3 linked regions of the Arabidopsis thaliana genome follow. The protein of the gene in region 1 interacts with the protein of each later gene in a biochemical or structural test. Each region holds a gene or a part of one and is shown on either strand. Other genes may lie near its edges.

What was found.
Region 2: the proteins of AT4G22730 (region 1) and AT1G51890 form a complex in vitro, tested with the Arabidopsis thaliana proteins (one large-scale study listed by BioGRID).
Region 3: the proteins of AT4G22730 (region 1) and AT1G67510 form a complex in vitro, tested with the Arabidopsis thaliana proteins (one large-scale study listed by BioGRID).

What each region holds. Positions count from the first base shown.
Region 1 is NC_003075.7:11,939,050-11,944,398, reverse strand, and holds AT4G22730 (Leucine-rich repeat protein kinase family protein), read right to left. Parts: upstream 3,399-5,349; 5' UTR 3,016-3,398; coding exon 2,586-3,015; intron 2,498-2,585; coding exon 2,237-2,497; exon of another isoform or gene 2,150-2,236; coding exon 1,256-2,149; coding exon of another isoform or gene 1,251-1,255; intron 1,185-1,250; coding exon 703-1,184; 3' UTR 514-702; downstream 1-513. Other genes in the region: AT4G22740 (glycine-rich protein), read left to right, coding at 52-135, 222-349.
Region 2 is NC_003070.9:19,274,122-19,280,732, forward strand, and holds AT1G51890 (Leucine-rich repeat protein kinase family protein), read right to left. Parts: upstream 4,678-6,611; 5' UTR 4,408-4,677; coding exon 4,338-4,407; intron 4,244-4,337; coding exon 3,706-4,243; exon of another isoform or gene 3,619-3,705; coding exon 3,140-3,618; intron 3,059-3,139; coding exon 2,914-3,058; intron 2,834-2,913; coding exon 2,762-2,833; intron 2,668-2,761; coding exon 2,596-2,667; intron 2,503-2,595; coding exon 2,419-2,502; intron 2,303-2,418; coding exon 2,172-2,302; intron 2,092-2,171; coding exon 1,844-2,091; intron 1,721-1,843; coding exon 1,462-1,720; intron 1,367-1,461; coding exon 1,177-1,366; coding exon of another isoform or gene 1,173-1,176; exon of another isoform or gene 1,090-1,172; coding exon 681-1,089; 3' UTR 512-680; downstream 1-511. Other genes in the region: RHS6 (root hair specific 6), read right to left, coding at 1-1; AT1G51900 (Regulator of Vps4 activity in the MVB pathway protein), read right to left, coding at 5,763-6,420.
Region 3 is NC_003070.9:25,296,795-25,302,308, reverse strand, and holds AT1G67510 (Leucine-rich repeat protein kinase family protein), read left to right. Parts: upstream 1-1,955; 5' UTR 1,956-2,124; coding exon 2,125-3,613; intron 3,614-4,161; coding exon 4,162-4,832; 3' UTR 4,833-5,003; downstream 5,004-5,514.

The sequences.
Region 1 (5,349 bases):
TGGATGAAATATCCTTATATACCGTTTGCTTTCAATTGCAAAATTCTGCAGATGAATTGGCTGGTTTTGAACAGTCTTGGAGTGGAAATGCTAGAAGGCAAATGCAGTTACCCAGTCGCTCTGGTTCATTTGGAAGTAAGCAGTCCTATTACACGGTCAAGTTTTCGTGTTGTACGTTTCTTTGTGAACAAAGATAAATCATCTCTTTGATGTTCTTGCAGGTGGTCTTGTGAACAGAGAGCAACCAATGTTACTTCCCTCGACTGATCCAAGTCCTTCTCATGCACGAGCAGAATCATCCCGAAGACCGAAAGCTGCAATGAATGTAAGAGGACATGGTACAAACTAATCTCCGCCTATATGTATGGTTTCGAAAATCTTTAGTGAATGTAACCAAAGACTAATTACTTTACTTAGGTTGCATCATCATTACTGTAACTGTATGATGACATGATTTGAGGGTTTTAAACACTGCTCCTTGATGATTATTATATATGTATCTTTTGTTACATTAATCAGTTCTTCGTTGCTTATAATCATATAGCTAACTGATTAAAGCTTCAATTCTCAGCTACAAATCTAAATAAAATATAAACCGGACCCGGTTCTTACTGGAGAGAACTAAAACAAACAAAACCAATTGGTGGGACACAGCTAACCGGAGAATCATACTTGCACAAAGATACTAATTAAAAAGCAGAGTCATTCACTCTTCATACAGTTTATATTCTCAAGCAATGTCTCTATATTAGGCCTATTGTTTGGTATCTCCTGTGTACAGCTTATCCCAATCCTCGCCATTGCAGTCGCCTCTGGTTTATCAAACTCTTCACGAAGATCTTCATCGATGAACCCGTTATGTTCTCCATTTTCAGCTGCATTTCTCAGTGAACTTGTAAGCATGAGCTTACCAGAGAGTATCTGGAGAATGATGACTCCAAAGGCGAAAATATCGGTTTTCTCGGTGAATTTTCCGGTTGTGACGTATTCCGGAGCTAAATATCCCATTGCTGCACTTGTTTTGAGTGCTGAGAAGACCATATCGTCTGCTAGAAGGTTGTGAAGACCCGAATCAGCGATTAACGGGTTAAATTGTTCATCAAGTAGGATTTTTTCGACAGAGATGTTTCGATGAACTATTGTAGGCTTCTTCTGTTGATCACTTCCATGTAAGTAAGCAATACCTGCAAGAAATTTGTGTATTAAATACATTTTGTTCCTTGAACTCAAAGAAGTGATATTTCAAATACTTAACCTTTTGCAATCCCTTTGATGATGGAGATTCTTGCAGACCAAGCAAGGACCAGATTAGTTTCGCGTTCTTGTAAGTCAAGAAAATTTGAAAGCTTTCCTTTTGAAGCAAAATCATAGATGAGGAAACACTCTCCTCTGCCTCTAGAACAGCAGAATCCACGTAGCTTCACTAAGTTTTCGTGTGACAACGAAGATAAAAGCTTTAAACCGTTCATGAATTCGACTTCTTCGTTCTTGCAACTGCTTATGTTGATGCTTCTGATAGCTACCGGAGAACCATCTCTGAGGACTCCTTTGAACACTGAGGTGAAGCTGTTTCTGCTCAATAGATTAGCTTCTGAGAAGCATTGGGTTGCTGATTCAATGTCTTCTAAGTTAAACCTGAAGCTACTATTTACAACAAAGAGATGAGGCTCTTGTGAAAACTCAGCTCCGTTTCTGCTATCACCTAGCGGATCCCATTCTTTAGTGTAGGCAAGACTCACTAAAGGCGATGCACGGAACTCTTTTTGTTGATCTGTGCTTAGTCTTCCCTCGGAAAACTCAGGTGTGTTACTGATCTTTTGCTTCCTTCTTCTGTAGCGAAAGAAGGTCAATATACCAGCACCAATCAATGTTATAGTGACGGTAATCACGCTTGAAATCAAAGCAACTTGTGGGAGTTTCGATGAGGATTTCTTGCAATGTGTTTGGTTGCAATGCTTTTGGAGATATACAGACTCGGGAATGTTGTGAAGAGCTGATTTATCAGTGTCTATTTCACCAGGAGGCTGCTTAAATTGTTCGATATTATTCGCATTATCGAAAGCAGAACAAGCTCTCAAAGAAGGAAAATCGATACCACATAACCCGGTGTTGTTCTCAAACTGGAAGCTCCCATTCAACTTCTTAAGACCTTTGAAGAAACATAACGAAGAAAAAACCGAGTCAAGAAACAGAGAGATAAGCTCTTACAAAGACGTTTCAAGAATCATTAACTCACCAGGAGGAACAAAGCCAGAGAGAGTATTGTTGCGCAAGTCAAGAGTGTCCAACTGAGGAATGTTGGCTAGGGTTTTTGGGATTAAACCTAACAGATTGTTGAAGCTTAAATCAAGCCTGCTTAACATACTCAAGTTTCCTAAAGTCCAAGGAACCTCTCCGGTTAGTTTGTTGTGTTGCAGAGACAACACATTAAGTTTCTTCAAGGATCCAATGTTCTTTGGTATCTTCCCTGTTAAACTGTTGCAACAAAGATCCATAACTGCAACAAAAGACACCACAAAACATTCAAATGGAAGATCGAGTAAACATTCAAGTGAAAGATCTGTGAAACATTATAAGATGCTAACCTTGCAAGCCAGCCATGGAGCCGATATCTGCCGGAATCTCACCAGAGAAGTTATTAACATTGAGATAAAGATCTGATAATTCAGTAAGATTTGTGATCTCTTGAGGTATCTCTCCAGAGAGACTATTGTAATGTAAGTAAAGACCTGACAAACATTTGAGCTCTGCAACCGCCGGAGACAATTTTCCGACCAAACGTTTCCCTTGTAATGATATGTTTGCGACTTTTAGATGCTGGTTACATGCAATTCCTTCGAAAGATCCGTCGCATGGATCGCCGTTAAACGTCCATGAACGGAGAAGCTTGTTTTCAGGGTCAAGCGACGATTTCAGCTCCATTAAAGCCTTCAGCTCTGCATTTCCTCGAACATTCGACGGAGTTGCAAGAAAGATTGAGAGAAGGATCAGTAACGTGGCACATAAGGTAACCATTCTTGAATTTTCTTGTCTCTCTGTTTAGAAATTACTGAGCTTTAGCTCATTTATCTATCTCTCTTATAGAGCAGAATAATCTGTTTTATAGAGCAGAGTAATAAAGGAACGAAATTTATAGAGCAGAGTACTCTGTTTTGTACTGGATTGGGAGCTATCTCTTTGTTAAACGAAGATAGTAACTTTTAGAGAGGGACCAATTTTGTGTCTGTTTCTCGGATTTGGAAAACTGTAACCTTCCACTCTCGTGAATGAAAAGTTATTCTGCAGAATTTTCTTGTTTTGGAGAGAAGAAGAGAAAGAAGCAGAACCTCAGCTGGTGAAAAGTGGGAAGACAACACAACGCATTGAATACACTGTCTGTGTGAGACAGAGACGTATACTGCTTTTGAAAAGGAAAGCCAAATCTTGATGACTTTTTTGGTGATTTTTAACAGTTAATGTTCACATTTGTTAGTGGGGATGTGATGTTATTAGGTGTTTGTTTATTTATTATGTCTATTGCTCGAGATCTTGGTTTATTTCACTTTCTTTGCATTGGTTTATGATTTAGACAGACTTTAAAACATTTTTAGTATATTTCTTCTATATCACAAATTCTATATAAAACAAAAATATGCTTTTTGGATAACCATTTTAGAAACAAACAGAACTCGGGCAAATCGCAAAATCATTTAGCTATTTGATCATAACTTAAGTTTACGAATAAAATCCATAGAACTTAATATCTATGTGTGGTGGTTATTATAAATGGTAAAATGGGTAAAAGTGTAGAGCGGCTTTAATGTGAGAAAACGATCTAACGAGTGAAGTTTATTTAAGTTCATGTTTGGCGATTGAGCACTTTGGCTTATAGTTCATAACTTTTGGAATCATTTCGAAACTTGGATCATCCTCTTCTTCTTTGTCAACACTCCACCTTCCCATTCCCTGCATGTGCCACGTGCACGTGTCTACTCCTGCATACACATACACATACACATATTCATATTTAGTCTCTTAAAACAAGTCTTTGGATGAGAATAGTACTGATTAAAGAATGTTTTTTTTAGATCCATATTTCTAATAGTGGTCTAATATGATTAGTTGATTATATATACTATAAAATATAGTATACTATAAAATATAGTATATATGGTCTAAATATAGTATTTAGTTAATGATGATATCGAGATTTAGAGGACAATTATTCCACTAACTCTCTTTTCTTTTCCTCTAATTATTTGTAGGCTATAAAGTAAATTGATAAAAGATTAGTTATAGAAATGCTATTTGTTGGTACATGTATTCTAACCTAATTGGGTTTAAGAACAAGACAGTTTGACTATAAGCAGAATCCAATGTGGACTGAAACATTCATCTTAATTAGATATTCTTAGATATACTCTTTGATTATATACAAACTTTTATCATATGTCCTATTATACTGATGAATCTTACTATGTGGACAAAACTTAATTCACACAATGAATAAAATTGGTGAAAATGATAACAAAAAACAAATTAGTGAAGTAATTAAGCACGTTAAAACTAAAAAACGAGACTAGTAGATTTGACGACGACGATCGAGTTCAATGTGAAAGCATAAAACCTTATCAACGGCTATAATTCAGATCTTGATTACTTCAAGGTTTTTTAGATGTATACAATAGTTTTAACAAAAAAAAAGATGTATACAATAGCAATCAGACAACTTTGATTTATCTTCAATCATTCGTCTTTTATTTTTTGGCATTTCAAGATGGAAGGAAGACTTTTGAAATACTTTTATCTTTTCGTTAACTACTTTGACCTTTTACTTGATTGTTTTACTAATAACTTTTGTCATTTTCTCCTTTTTCCCACGTCTTTTTGAATCTATATGATGTCTTTTAAAACTTTTGAAAATTTTATATTTAGTATGCATGCTTACTTACATAGTTACATGTATGAATGTTTTATCTAGAACTCTAGTCTCTAGAAGGATATCCACATTATGCTACAAAAGTAATATAAATATCGACCAAAATTTGTGTAGCCTATGTGTCAAGGTTCTGATTTACACTTGAAAATACGCAAATGAGTTCTAGATGATGGAAAAATGATACACTATATCTCGAATGTTTTTACAAAATTATTAGATAGAATTTATCTCTACGTCAAATTGAAATTTTTGACAACTTGTTGTTGCCTTTACAATTTTTATTAGCAAGATCAAGATTAGATCATTATGTATAAATTCTATTTACTCACTTTTCGTTTAATACGCAATGCCATAGAAGTGTCTTGTGATTAATTGAACCATCTCATACGTTCTACATTAAAAAGTTCTTACTTTTTACTTTTTAGTAGTGC
Region 2 (6,611 bases), on another chromosome or scaffold:
TTGATCATTGTTCTTGACTGGCAAGTATTGAGATAACATTATATTGGTCAATTGATTTGGCATTCATAGCTTGTGTAAGCTGTGTGCTAAGTCTTCAACATTAGATTCTTTTATTTTATTCAGGTGATTATTATAGTAACACATTACGTGTCTACGACATTCTTTCCGCTTTCAGGCGTTGGAGAATTTTCAAATGTATATTATTAGGTAGACTTCTAAAAAAAGATGTGAAATCAATTGTTACATTATTTATAGGTTAAAAAACTTTAGCAGATTTTAAATGAATCAGTCAATTTAAATCAGATAGTAAATTTTAATTTTTATGGAGGCACGTTTATTTTTGTATGTGATATGAACTCTAGTGAATTATACACGGACCATGTCACATTTGACTCCAACAACGCTTTCATGCGTTCACTTTGAATTTGTATGAGTCCGAATTTCTTGCAAACTTTTACTTCAAAATCATGAGAACAGAGTAATCAAAAAAGAGCATCCAAGACCATGCGTTGATGACTCATACATAAACTAATATTAAAGATATAAATTTCTTGGAATCCAAGAATGTTACACATAATAAAGGCTAATACATTTTGAAGAAAATTCACAGAACTATCTTAAACATTTCAATATGAACAATCGATTATAATAAACAACAAAGCTTGATAACACAAAGACTTTTACCTAGCTAAAGGGGAAAAATCAGAAGCAGAAGATGGACTAAACTCAACAGATTCCTTTATGTACGTCGCTTGACTACCTTGTTTCCTTTCTATTTCCAAAGCAAGACATTCGTTTAGCTCCATCACCACGTGTGGCATTGTCGGTCTACGGCTTGAAGACGGGTTTACACAAGCTAAAGCCAACTCTACAACCTTCCACACACCGTTTGTGTCATAGTCTTCATTCAGTTTCGGGTCGACAATACTCTTGATATCCCCATTGGTAAGCATGAACATAACCCATTCATTGATATGAGGTCTCTCTCGGTTTTTATTCATCACAGGCTGGTTTGTGACTATCTCTAAAAGCACTACACCAAAGCTGTACACATCACTCTTCTCGCTTAGCCAGTTTGTTCTGTAATACCTGAAAAGAAGAGTATCATAAAGAGAGGTTACAGTTCCCAATTCTTCATAACTTATTTCAGTACAAGAAACAGATTGATTCACTCACTCAGGATCTAAGTAACCAGGTGTTCCTGCAACGACTGTCATGACATGAGATTCACCATCAACAGGAAAAGATCTCGATAGCCCAAAGTCGGCTAGTTTTGCTTGAGACCGCTCATTTAATAAAATGTTGGTTGGTTTCACATCTCTATGTACCATAGGAGGCCTACATCCGTTATGCAAATACTCCAATCCTGTTACAAATAGTTATTGTTTATGTCAATCTTGCTTTCAGACTACCACACAAATTGTTGTGAATGAAAAGTATATAAGTCATAATTTAGTTCACCTTGTGCTGCCTCTACAGCTATTTGCATTCTTGTTTCCCAGCTTAGGACATTGACACTGTGTTTTCCTGTACCAGGCTTTGAATGTTTCAAACTGTCTAAGGAGATGGATTCAACTAAATTAAAGTGCTTACCTGACATATTTTCCCTCAGGTCTCCTTTTTCCATATATTCATAGATCAGAGCTAAGTTGTCTCCATCATCACAGTAACCAACAAGTCCCACCAAATGTCTGTGATGAACTCTTAAAAGAAGTTCAACCTAAGAAAGAACAAAATCACCATTCATGATTGAGGAACCTAATGCACTTTAAAAACAATTAAGACTAACATATCCATTTCTTATTAAAAAAAAAAAAAACATATCCATTTCTTGTTAAAGTACCTCTGCTTTGAACTCTTTATAACCTTGAGCTGATGAATGAGAAAGCATTTTCACAGCTACTTGAGTATCATCCAAGTTACCATGATACACTGTTCCAAACCCTCCTTTACCAAGAACTCTCTCAAAGTTTTTAGTCATCTTTAGTACCTCCGAATAAGTGAACTTGCGTTCCTTTGTTATGATTGATGAACTCGATGATCTTGCATCACTCTTAACCGTGCCAGTAGTGAATGATCGGGGTCCTGAAGCTGTAAAACCTAAAGGAAGTGAGTATAAATCTGACAACTTTCATTTTCATTATTTTCAAGACCTATTCTAGTGATCATACCTTCATTAGTTCTCTGTTTTTTCCTTATGACGACAAAAACGATAGCCAAGATAACTAGCACAGCAAACACGCTAGCCACTGATGCTGCGATAGCAACTACATTTGTACTATTTTTTCCGGTTTCATCTCTACTGCAATCATTAAAGGTGATGTGGAATCGAATAGAAGGTTAGACACTGTTTCATAGGATTCTGAAATACTTTCCGTGACTTGAAAAGCTTGAGACTGAATCCACTGAAAATCTTACATTAGTGTTAAAGATTTGTTATCTATCCTCTTCTGAAGAGTCTCTGGAACTGAGCGATTTAGATTCTTGTTTCCACTCAAGTTTCTGCAAATGACAAAAATGAATCTTTGAGAACAGCACACAAAGAGCAGAGCGACCAAGAACCAAGATAAATATATTAGTCATTTAGTAGCTCACATGAGTGTCAAATTCTTCATATCAGAAAAAACAAATGGAATATCTCCTGATAAGTCATTGTTTGATAAATCTCTGCGCATTAAAGGAAAAAAATAAATTTGTTATACACAATACACCATATCATATACTTTAAGTTTATTAGTGTGTGACAGTTTCGGATTCTTACAGTTCTCTCAAATGTGTTAGCTTGGATATATCAGATGTTATGGTACCACTCAAATTGCTTCCACTCAAGTTCCTAATAGAGAGTCCAAAAGTTAGAACTTGAGAAAAAAAACTCGAAACTAAAGAATTGTGAGATTAACAAGCAAAACATACAAGGATATGATCTGCGGTGGCGCAAAGTTTGGATAACTACAGTTTAAACCTTCCCATCTATATAACTCAGGAGCACATGGATCTCCTTGCCAGCTAGACCTTTTGCTCAATCCATATATTGTCTTGATATTCATCATAGCGGAAACTGATCAATCATTACATTTCAAAAACTTCAAAGACATGAACTCTTGGTAAAAGAATTGGTTTAAGAACATGCTTAACTTACCTTCATCTTGGTATGTATCAAGCTGTGGAAGCTCTAGAACTTGATAAATCTCAAGGCCGTTGATAAGAGGAGGATGAGTAGAGTTACCGGTCATCGAGAAAGTGAAGTTGAAATTCCCATCTAGAGAACTCACAGCTGCTGGATTGTATACAGTTGTTATACGAAACTTTGGAGGTCTAAAATAGGAGAACCAATTTTCGCCACCATTGTAAGTAATATTGAATTCTCTGGTCTCATTAGCTTCAAGATTCTCGATTTCAGCGAAATGCATGTATATATATGACTGTGAAGTGATGTCGTCGAGACTCCAATTTATTTTCAGAGGCTGAGTAGCATTTAAAGGGACAGCAGCAGTTTTCGCTACAGTTTGAGGCACATTGTAGAAGTTACTTGTATCAACAGAGAGTTCCGTGCTTAACAAGGAATTTTTGTTATCTAAGAATGGAATCCAAATTCGGTCATGGACGTCCTCATCATACCTAGAGAGAAAGGCTCATTTTGATAATTTAACACAAACAACAAAACAACTAGTATGAAAATAAAACCTTTTTGGCTCATTTCTGTACCTGAGAAATGGTGGAGTGGGTGAAAAGTAAAGTCTTGCGACCACAATAAGCGATCCACTTTTTGTGACGTATGTATTATTGTTCAAAGGACGAAGTTCCAATGAAGAAATAAACGGTGTAGTTTCTCCTGTTTTCACAAGACAAATTTGAAGATGGTCTTGTCTTAAGACATGGATCATCTCGGAGACTGAACCATTTCTCACTCCGGGGATCGAAACAGAGGTCCATTTGTTTGGACCGATGTAAAGATCAAAGCTCGGGAGTTGATTCAAACCGTCATAATTCCCATAGATAAAGGTTCCTCTGATTAGATACTTACGTTTTGCGGTGAGACTGAAGTTGTAACAATTTCTTTGACCCTCAGGGAAGCTTCTCAAGGCCCAAATTTGTTGCTGAAACTGTGTTCTGTACACTTCATTGATCTTCCCGGGAACTCCACTGTCGATGTAAGTTGCGTCTGATCTGTATGTTATATTCGTCGACTTTTCCACATAAGTAATTTCCGTAGGCACCAAACCACAATCTAAGCTTATGAATCCTGTTTATGATCGAAAAAAACAAACTTTTAAGAGGTTTTGTTGATCTGAAAAGGAAACAAAACATCAAGATTTCATGAAAACAGAGTAAATAACCTGATTGGTCTTGAGCTTGAACCAATCCAAGAACTGCGAAAACGAAGATCAAGAAAGACAAAAACCTCATGTTTTTTGGGGATGTTTGTTCTGAATCAGAGGAGGCTATTCATTTTTCATAGGTTCTTGGTGGGTAAAGATTGACATAAGAGCAAAGTATTGGTCAATTAAGATGGCCAAGTCTTCTTCTTCAACATTAGACTTATTCAGGTGATTGTAACAGCACTCTTATTTGCCTACGAAATTATGTGTCTTGTGGAAATGTTCAAACTAGAATTGGTGGCAAATATATAAAAACAAAATGAGAAATCAAACGAAAGTAAATAAAGAATGGAAAGATACAAACAAAGAAAGTTGCAGAATCTTGCTTAAACAAAACAAAAATACCCAACTTGCCTTCCAAGCTTCCAATAAAAGCAACTATAATAACAAAAAGAGAGCGTAAATAAACTACTAAACAATCGTACTTTTATTTTGTGTGAAAAAAATCTCGATATTATAGTTCGTTGACGTATATTGTATATATTTATTTGGAATTATTTTGACAAATTTCGATGTGTTTAAAATTCTTTTTAAAAAATAAAGTGAAGAAAAATTAGAAAAGAATAAGTCAACTTAGGTGATTTTGATTTTTGACGTCGTCGTTGCCTATAATATTCATTTCTGAAATTTCTAATATTAAGTGTGGAAAAAAACTCGATATTATAGTCCGTTGACGTATATGGTATATATTTATCTGAAATTATTTTGACAAATTTCGATGAGTTTGAAATTCTTTTTTAAAAATAAAGTGAAGAAAAATTTAGAAATTAATAAGTCAACTTAGGTGATTTTGATTTTTGACGTCGCCTATAATATTCCCTTATAAATCCATGACTCAAATCTGGATAATTTTCACTAAATTTTATGACTAAGTCATTTGATTGCTTATTTAATTAAAAACGAGTAACATAAACTTTTTTGTAAGATATACCCAAATTGGTAAAATGAATCAACATATTTTATACGGTAACAAAATTAAAGATCTCATATACACTATTTTCATTTTCGATTATATAGTACATCAATTAAGACTTCATTCAAAAAAGACTGAGCTGAAGCTTTAAATAGCTTTCCAACCTTAAAGTTGGTCCGACTCCGAATCAAAACCAAAAAAAAAAACTAGCGGTTTGGTTAATTATCTTCGTCTTTCTTCTTCTTCTTCTTTTTGGGTTAATAATCTTCGTCTCTCATTCTTCAACACAAAAAGAGACTTTGAATCCTAAATTGGACTGTGGAAAATTCAAAAAGACAGAGGCGAAGCTTTAGTTAGCTTTCCAACCTTAAGGTTGGTCCGACTCCGAATCAAAAAACCCTAGTGGTTTGGTTATAGTCTTCTTCATCTTCCTTTTGGTGTTGATAATCTTCGTGTCTCATCCTGGAAGCTTAGGATGAACTGTGTTTGGTTAATAATCTTCGTCTTTCTTTTTCTACCTCCTTCAGGAGTTTAAACTTAGTAGCAATCTGGTCGTAATCAGGAAGCTTAGGATGAACATGTTTTGTTGCTAATCTTCGTCTTTCTTCTTCTTCCTTCTCCAGCACTCTAAAGCGAGTAATCACTTGGTCGTAATCAGGAAGCGTAGGCTCAAAGTCTTTGGGTGATAATCTTCGTCTCTCGTTTTCTTCTTCCTTCTTCTTTTTAAACTGAGTTAAAAATTGTTCGTATTCATGAAGCTTAGAATGAACACGTTTGGTTGTTAATCTTTGTCTTTCTTCCTCTTCTTCTTCCTTCGTCACTTTAAACTCATTGTATACTACATTATGGCAACAATGTGGTGATGTTGATGATCTTCTTCTTCTTCGATGCATCCCTTTTTGCCTCATGTAATACGTCAAACTCTCCATATCCCTAAACTCTGTTAGTGGTGATAATGGTGATGATGAGGATTTTCTCTTCTCTTCACTACTTTCTCTGAATCTGAAGACTCTTTGATCTTTTCCGACTTGAGCCTCTTCTATGCAACAATCTTCCATTGATGTATCTTCATTGCTTCTCTCTTCTTTGATATCGGTGAGGCTAAATTTGTACACCTCGTGTTTGTGACTGACCAGCAGATCTAATATCCATTACTTTCTTTCTTTCTCTTCATTGACCTAAACACAAGCGTCCAAAATATTATGAAACCGAAAAACAAAAACAAATATATATCTACTGATCTTTACTAATACAATTAACAACAAAATAAAATCACCTGTTTTTCAATCTCAGGTCTATATTCCGGCCTTGATATTCCT
Region 3 (5,514 bases), on another chromosome or scaffold:
GGCAAAATAGTATTATTATGTTATACAGTACATAAGTTTAGCAAAATAGGGTCTACCTCTCTTCTTCAAAAGACGACATAGGAGCCAACATAATGCAAGATAGAACTAACGCTAATTAAGATAATCGAAAAGAATATGACTTGGGTGCAAAGCAAAAGGATTACGGTTTCTTGAGAGAAACTCATCCACCGGTGGAATCAATGAGTGCTTCATCTTCTTCCAATATGCTGATATCATCATTAATATTCTTGGTGTAAAACTTGTAACAGATAATCCAGACATCATTATACCTAGGAATCCATATACTCATTTCTTTTTCTTTTTATCAATTGGGTGTGACGGCTAAATGATGTAAGAACAATGAAAAATAAAAAAAAGAGCAAAGTAGAAGGGAAAAAGCAAAATTCGGGAGAATATTTTTCCACCAGTATTTGTATTGGAAATTTTTTGTTGGTAATACAAAACTTTAAAGAGCTGCTGAAGTTGAGTAATCTTTACGATGTTCATTTTCAATCTTGAGACTATATCTATATGTGTTAAGATTGTATGGTAGAACGTGATATAATATCTGTATGGTAACACGTGAGAGTAGTTTGTTGGTCCATTCTACAAATCGAACTACCACATGACAGAAACATGTATGATGTAGATGTACTGTATATTTTAACAGTTGCGGACAACATTGGTCGGAAAAAAAAAACTCATACCAAATTGGTAAGTAGTGATATTAATTTTGGTTCAATTTCTTGATCATGTGAATAATAGAATTAAAATTTAGCCAAGCCAGCCAAAACCAAAAGAATCCGTAAGCATAGCAAATATAAAGCCACTTTCGAAACTAGCAACAATGACGGTGAAATAATTTTATCCTAGTTTAGTAGACTAGACAGTAGAAACATGATGTGATAAATAAAATGATTTAATCTCATTTCTCATACTTCACTTAAATAAGATATTATCTTATAGATTTCATGCTTTAGTTAGCTTCTAAGCGTGTTTTAATGATTATAGGGGGACATAACGACATTAACAACACACCTCAAATAGTATAGTTTAAATGTACATTTACAGAAAATTCATTTTAAACTGATTCTAAAATGTAAATTTACAGAAAAATTAATTTAAACTAAATTGATAACCCTTTTATGAAAAATATTCTAAGATGTTAGTCGCAAAATTGAAATAATAAGAAAAAGATTTATAATAAGAAAAAGATTTATAAAACTCAATTTTAAACACAATTATTGGAAAAAACTTCTATACAGAGACTTTGAGAGACCAGCGAGCACGTGTCAAAGGCATGGCATTTACTTCGACGGCTAAGTGAGGGACAGGGACCCTGACCGTAACAGTTCCCAAGGAGTTACAATGTTCCGTACCTCCTTCATTTGCTAATCCCTAACACTTACGTGAGTAGTGTTAGTTATTTACCCTAATCAACATTTGGATTAGGCTAATCCATGTTTGTGAGGACCACTATGATATTTTTCTCTCTTTTTTTGTTTCTTTATCATTATGATATCATTATAATGAAAAAAAAAAAATGGCGAAAAAAAAATATCATTATGATAAATAAATATATAATTGGCAATCAATTACACATGCCACCATACTTTTACCTTTGTTCACAAAGTCTCAAAATTACAGTACTCACAGTCAGTCAAAATTATAGTACTCATCAATATAAACATTACTAATTTAGATAATTTTATGTTAATAGTGGATCTAATTTATGAACCCCCAAACAGTAAAACTTTTTTTTCTAAAACATTACAATAAAAATGATATTTGTAATACCGCTATATATTTTACGATTAGTCACAATCAAAACGGTATCAATCGACAAAATTACTGATGACCAATAGAAATTTTGGCAAACATTATTACAAAAATGTGTTATGTCAAACTAAATTAAATGAAAACAAAAAATTTGTAATTGAATTATTAAATACGTTGCCATAAATTGATGTTTTGCCCTTAATTAATTGATTACAGTATGATTAAAAAGGTATAACTAACATAAATAAATACCCTTCAAGAACCAACCAATCTCTCATTCTTTCGTCACCCACCTTCTTCACTCTCTGTTATTTTCACAAACCAGAAAAATTCAAGTACAGAGAAATGATCCTTCTCTCACTTCTTCTCCATCTTCTTCTTCATCTCCTCAACACTTCTCCTTCTCTTTCTCTTTCCCCCGACGGTATCGCTTTACTCTCACTCAAATCCGCCGTCGATCACTCCTCCTCCTCCGCTTTCTCCGATTGGAACGATAACGACACCGATCCTTGTCATTGGTCCGGAATCTCCTGTATGAACATCTCAGACTCTTCTACCTCTCGCGTCGTTGGAATTTCCCTCGCCGGAAAACATCTCCGTGGCTACATCCCCTCAGAGCTTGGCTCACTTATTTACCTCCGTCGTCTTAACCTCCACAACAACGAACTTTACGGTTCAATTCCTACTCAATTATTCAACGCGACGTCGCTTCATAGTATCTTCTTATACGGTAACAATCTCTCCGGTACTCTTCCTCCTTCGATCTGTAAACTCCCAAAGCTTCAGAATCTCGATTTGTCTATGAATTCGCTCTCTGGAACTCTTTCACCGGATCTCAACAAGTGTAAACAGCTTCAACGGTTGATCCTCTCCGCTAACAACTTTTCCGGTGAGATTCCTGGTGATATCTGGCCGGAATTGACTAATTTAGCTCAGCTTGATCTCTCTGCTAACGAATTTTCCGGCGAAATCCCTAAGGATATCGGAGAGCTTAAGTCTCTCTCTGGTACTTTGAATCTCTCCTTTAACCATTTATCCGGCCAAATCCCTAATTCCTTAGGAAATCTACCGGTGACAGTCTCTCTTGATCTCCGGAACAACGATTTCTCCGGCGAGATTCCTCAATCTGGTTCGTTCTCTAACCAGGGGCCAACCGCATTTCTCAATAATCCGAAACTGTGTGGTTTCCCTCTCCAGAAAACTTGTAAAGACACTGATGAGAACTCTCCGGGGACTCGAAAGTCGCCCGAGAATAATGCGGATTCTAGAAGAGGGTTAAGTACTGGATTAATAGTGTTGATCTCGGTGGCAGATGCAGCAAGTGTAGCTTTTATTGGTTTAGTGTTAGTTTACTTGTACTGGAAGAAAAAAGACTCTGAGGGAGGGTGTAGCTGCACAGGGAATGCGAAACTCGGTGGTGGTTCGGTGAAGGGGAAATCGTGTTGTTGTATCACGGGGTTTCCGAAAGAGGATGATTCGGAAGCGGAAGGTAATGAGAGAGGAGAAGGGAAAGGAGATGGAGAGCTTGTAGCGATTGATAAAGGGTTTTCTTTTGAGCTTGATGAGTTGTTGAGAGCTTCTGCATATGTTTTGGGGAAGAGTGGGTTAGGGATAGTGTATAAAGTGGTGTTAGGGAATGGAGTTCCGGTGGCGGTGCGGCGACTTGGGGAAGGAGGGGAACAGAGGTATAAAGAGTTTGTTACGGAGGTTCAAGCTATGGGGAAAGTGAAACATCCTAATGTGGTGAAGTTAAGAGCTTATTATTGGGCTCCTGATGAGAAGCTTTTGATTAGTGACTTCGTTAACAATGGAAGTTTAGCTGATGCTCTTAGAGGTATTACATTACTTCTTCCTTCTTCTTTTTCTGCTTATCGAATTAGTCTACTAACTAAAGTTTGAGATCCGGTTCTGTTCTATTGACTTAAGAAATTTATGTTGACTTTGACTTTGTCAACGCTAGATTAGACATTACTACCTTAGTGAGAGATGAGATTAGATCTGAGAGATAGTTTGTGGGATTGTCAAAGCAAGAGTGGACCAAGATTTCTTTCTCTTTTTAGGCATATTTTGGTATTTTAATTTAGAATTTAGTCAAGTTACATGTAAAAGAGACATGTCTTGTAAGAGAATTCGACATGTCCGAATAATAAATATCTTTTTTAAGTATTAGTATATGATTTAAGTGTGGTAGAGTCTTAGAGTAGAAGTAATTAGTAAAAATAGCAGAATGAGGAAACAATGATGAGAGAAGTTTACTTGTGGGCTAAGAGTAATGATTTTATACACCCACTCTGTTGAGCCTCTAGCTGTCCCGTCTTTTTCTCATCGTAACTCATTACTTACTTTAATATTGGATACTTGTTTGTTTTGGTGTGTGAATAGGGAGGAATGGTCAACCATCACCGAGCTTAACATGGTCAACGCGTATAAAGATCGCAAAAGGAGCTGCGCGTGGGTTAGCTTATCTACACGAGTGTAGTCCAAGGAAGTTGGTACATGGCGACGTTAAGCCTTCCAACATTCTTCTTGATTCCTCCTTCACTCCTTACATCTCTGACTTCGGTCTCACACGTCTCATCACCATCACTGCCGCTTCTGCCTCTTCTAACGAACCTTCCTCCTCCTCTGCTGCGGGTGGTTTCTTAGGTGGAGCTCTTCCTTACACTTCCATCAAACCCTCAGATAGATCCAACGGCTATAAAGCCCCCGAGGCCCGGCTCCCTGGAGGGAGGCCTACTCAGAAATGGGACGTATACTCCTTCGGTGTTGTGCTTATGGAGCTTCTCACCGGGAAATCGCCGGATTCTTCTCCGTTAAGCTCTTCCTCGACGTCTACGGTGGTTGTTGAGGTGCCGGATTTGGTGAAGTGGGTGAGGAAAGGGTTTGAAGAGGAGACTCCATTGTCGGACATGGTTGATCCAATGTTACTTCAAGAAGTTCACGCCAAGCAACAAGTCTTGTCCGTTTTTCATCTAGCTCTCGCTTGTACCGAAGGTGACCCTGAAGTCCGTCCACGTATGAAGAACGTCTCTGAGAACATCGACAAAATCTGATTCAATTATTATATTCTTTTTTCTTTAATTTTTCCTATTATATTTTTGTATCTCCGATAGTTCTTACACGAGGTCGTTACGTCACTCCCACGTCTGGGACTAGTGGTCGATTTGTTTTTATTGAATAATTATTTGTTATGAAAATTGAATCAAATGAGTTATACTTTAGGCTTTAAATGGCTTTGTCTTTTATTTTGCTGTCTTTTTCTCATCTGTTAAAAGACAACTCCTAGTTAACGGGCACTTGTCTTGTCCTTCAGTTGAAGATACACATACAAGATCTAATATCTTCCAAGAACCATCCATTTGAAATTTCGCTTTTCATAGAGTTTATGCAAATGTGGATTTGGGTTTTTAGATTTAAACGGGTCACAGAATATTTAACTTGGGGTAAATTTTCAAAAAAGCATAATGGATAATTAAAATTTAGATTGGCCCATTATATTTATCAGGCCCACTAATTAAATGTTTGTTGCTTTTCTGCTTTTTGACATTTTACACCGGCAACCTTTGTCGGAGAACGGTTAAGTAGCTGGGATAACTCAGGCGGCGTCGCGGTTAGGTAGAGTAGAAGAAACTACAAGCAAGAGAGAGCGATTCACTGAAGGTAACCACGTCTTAAACAAAATGAACCGAACTATAACCGTTTGGTTAGAAGATTTAAAACGGAATGATCCGGTTT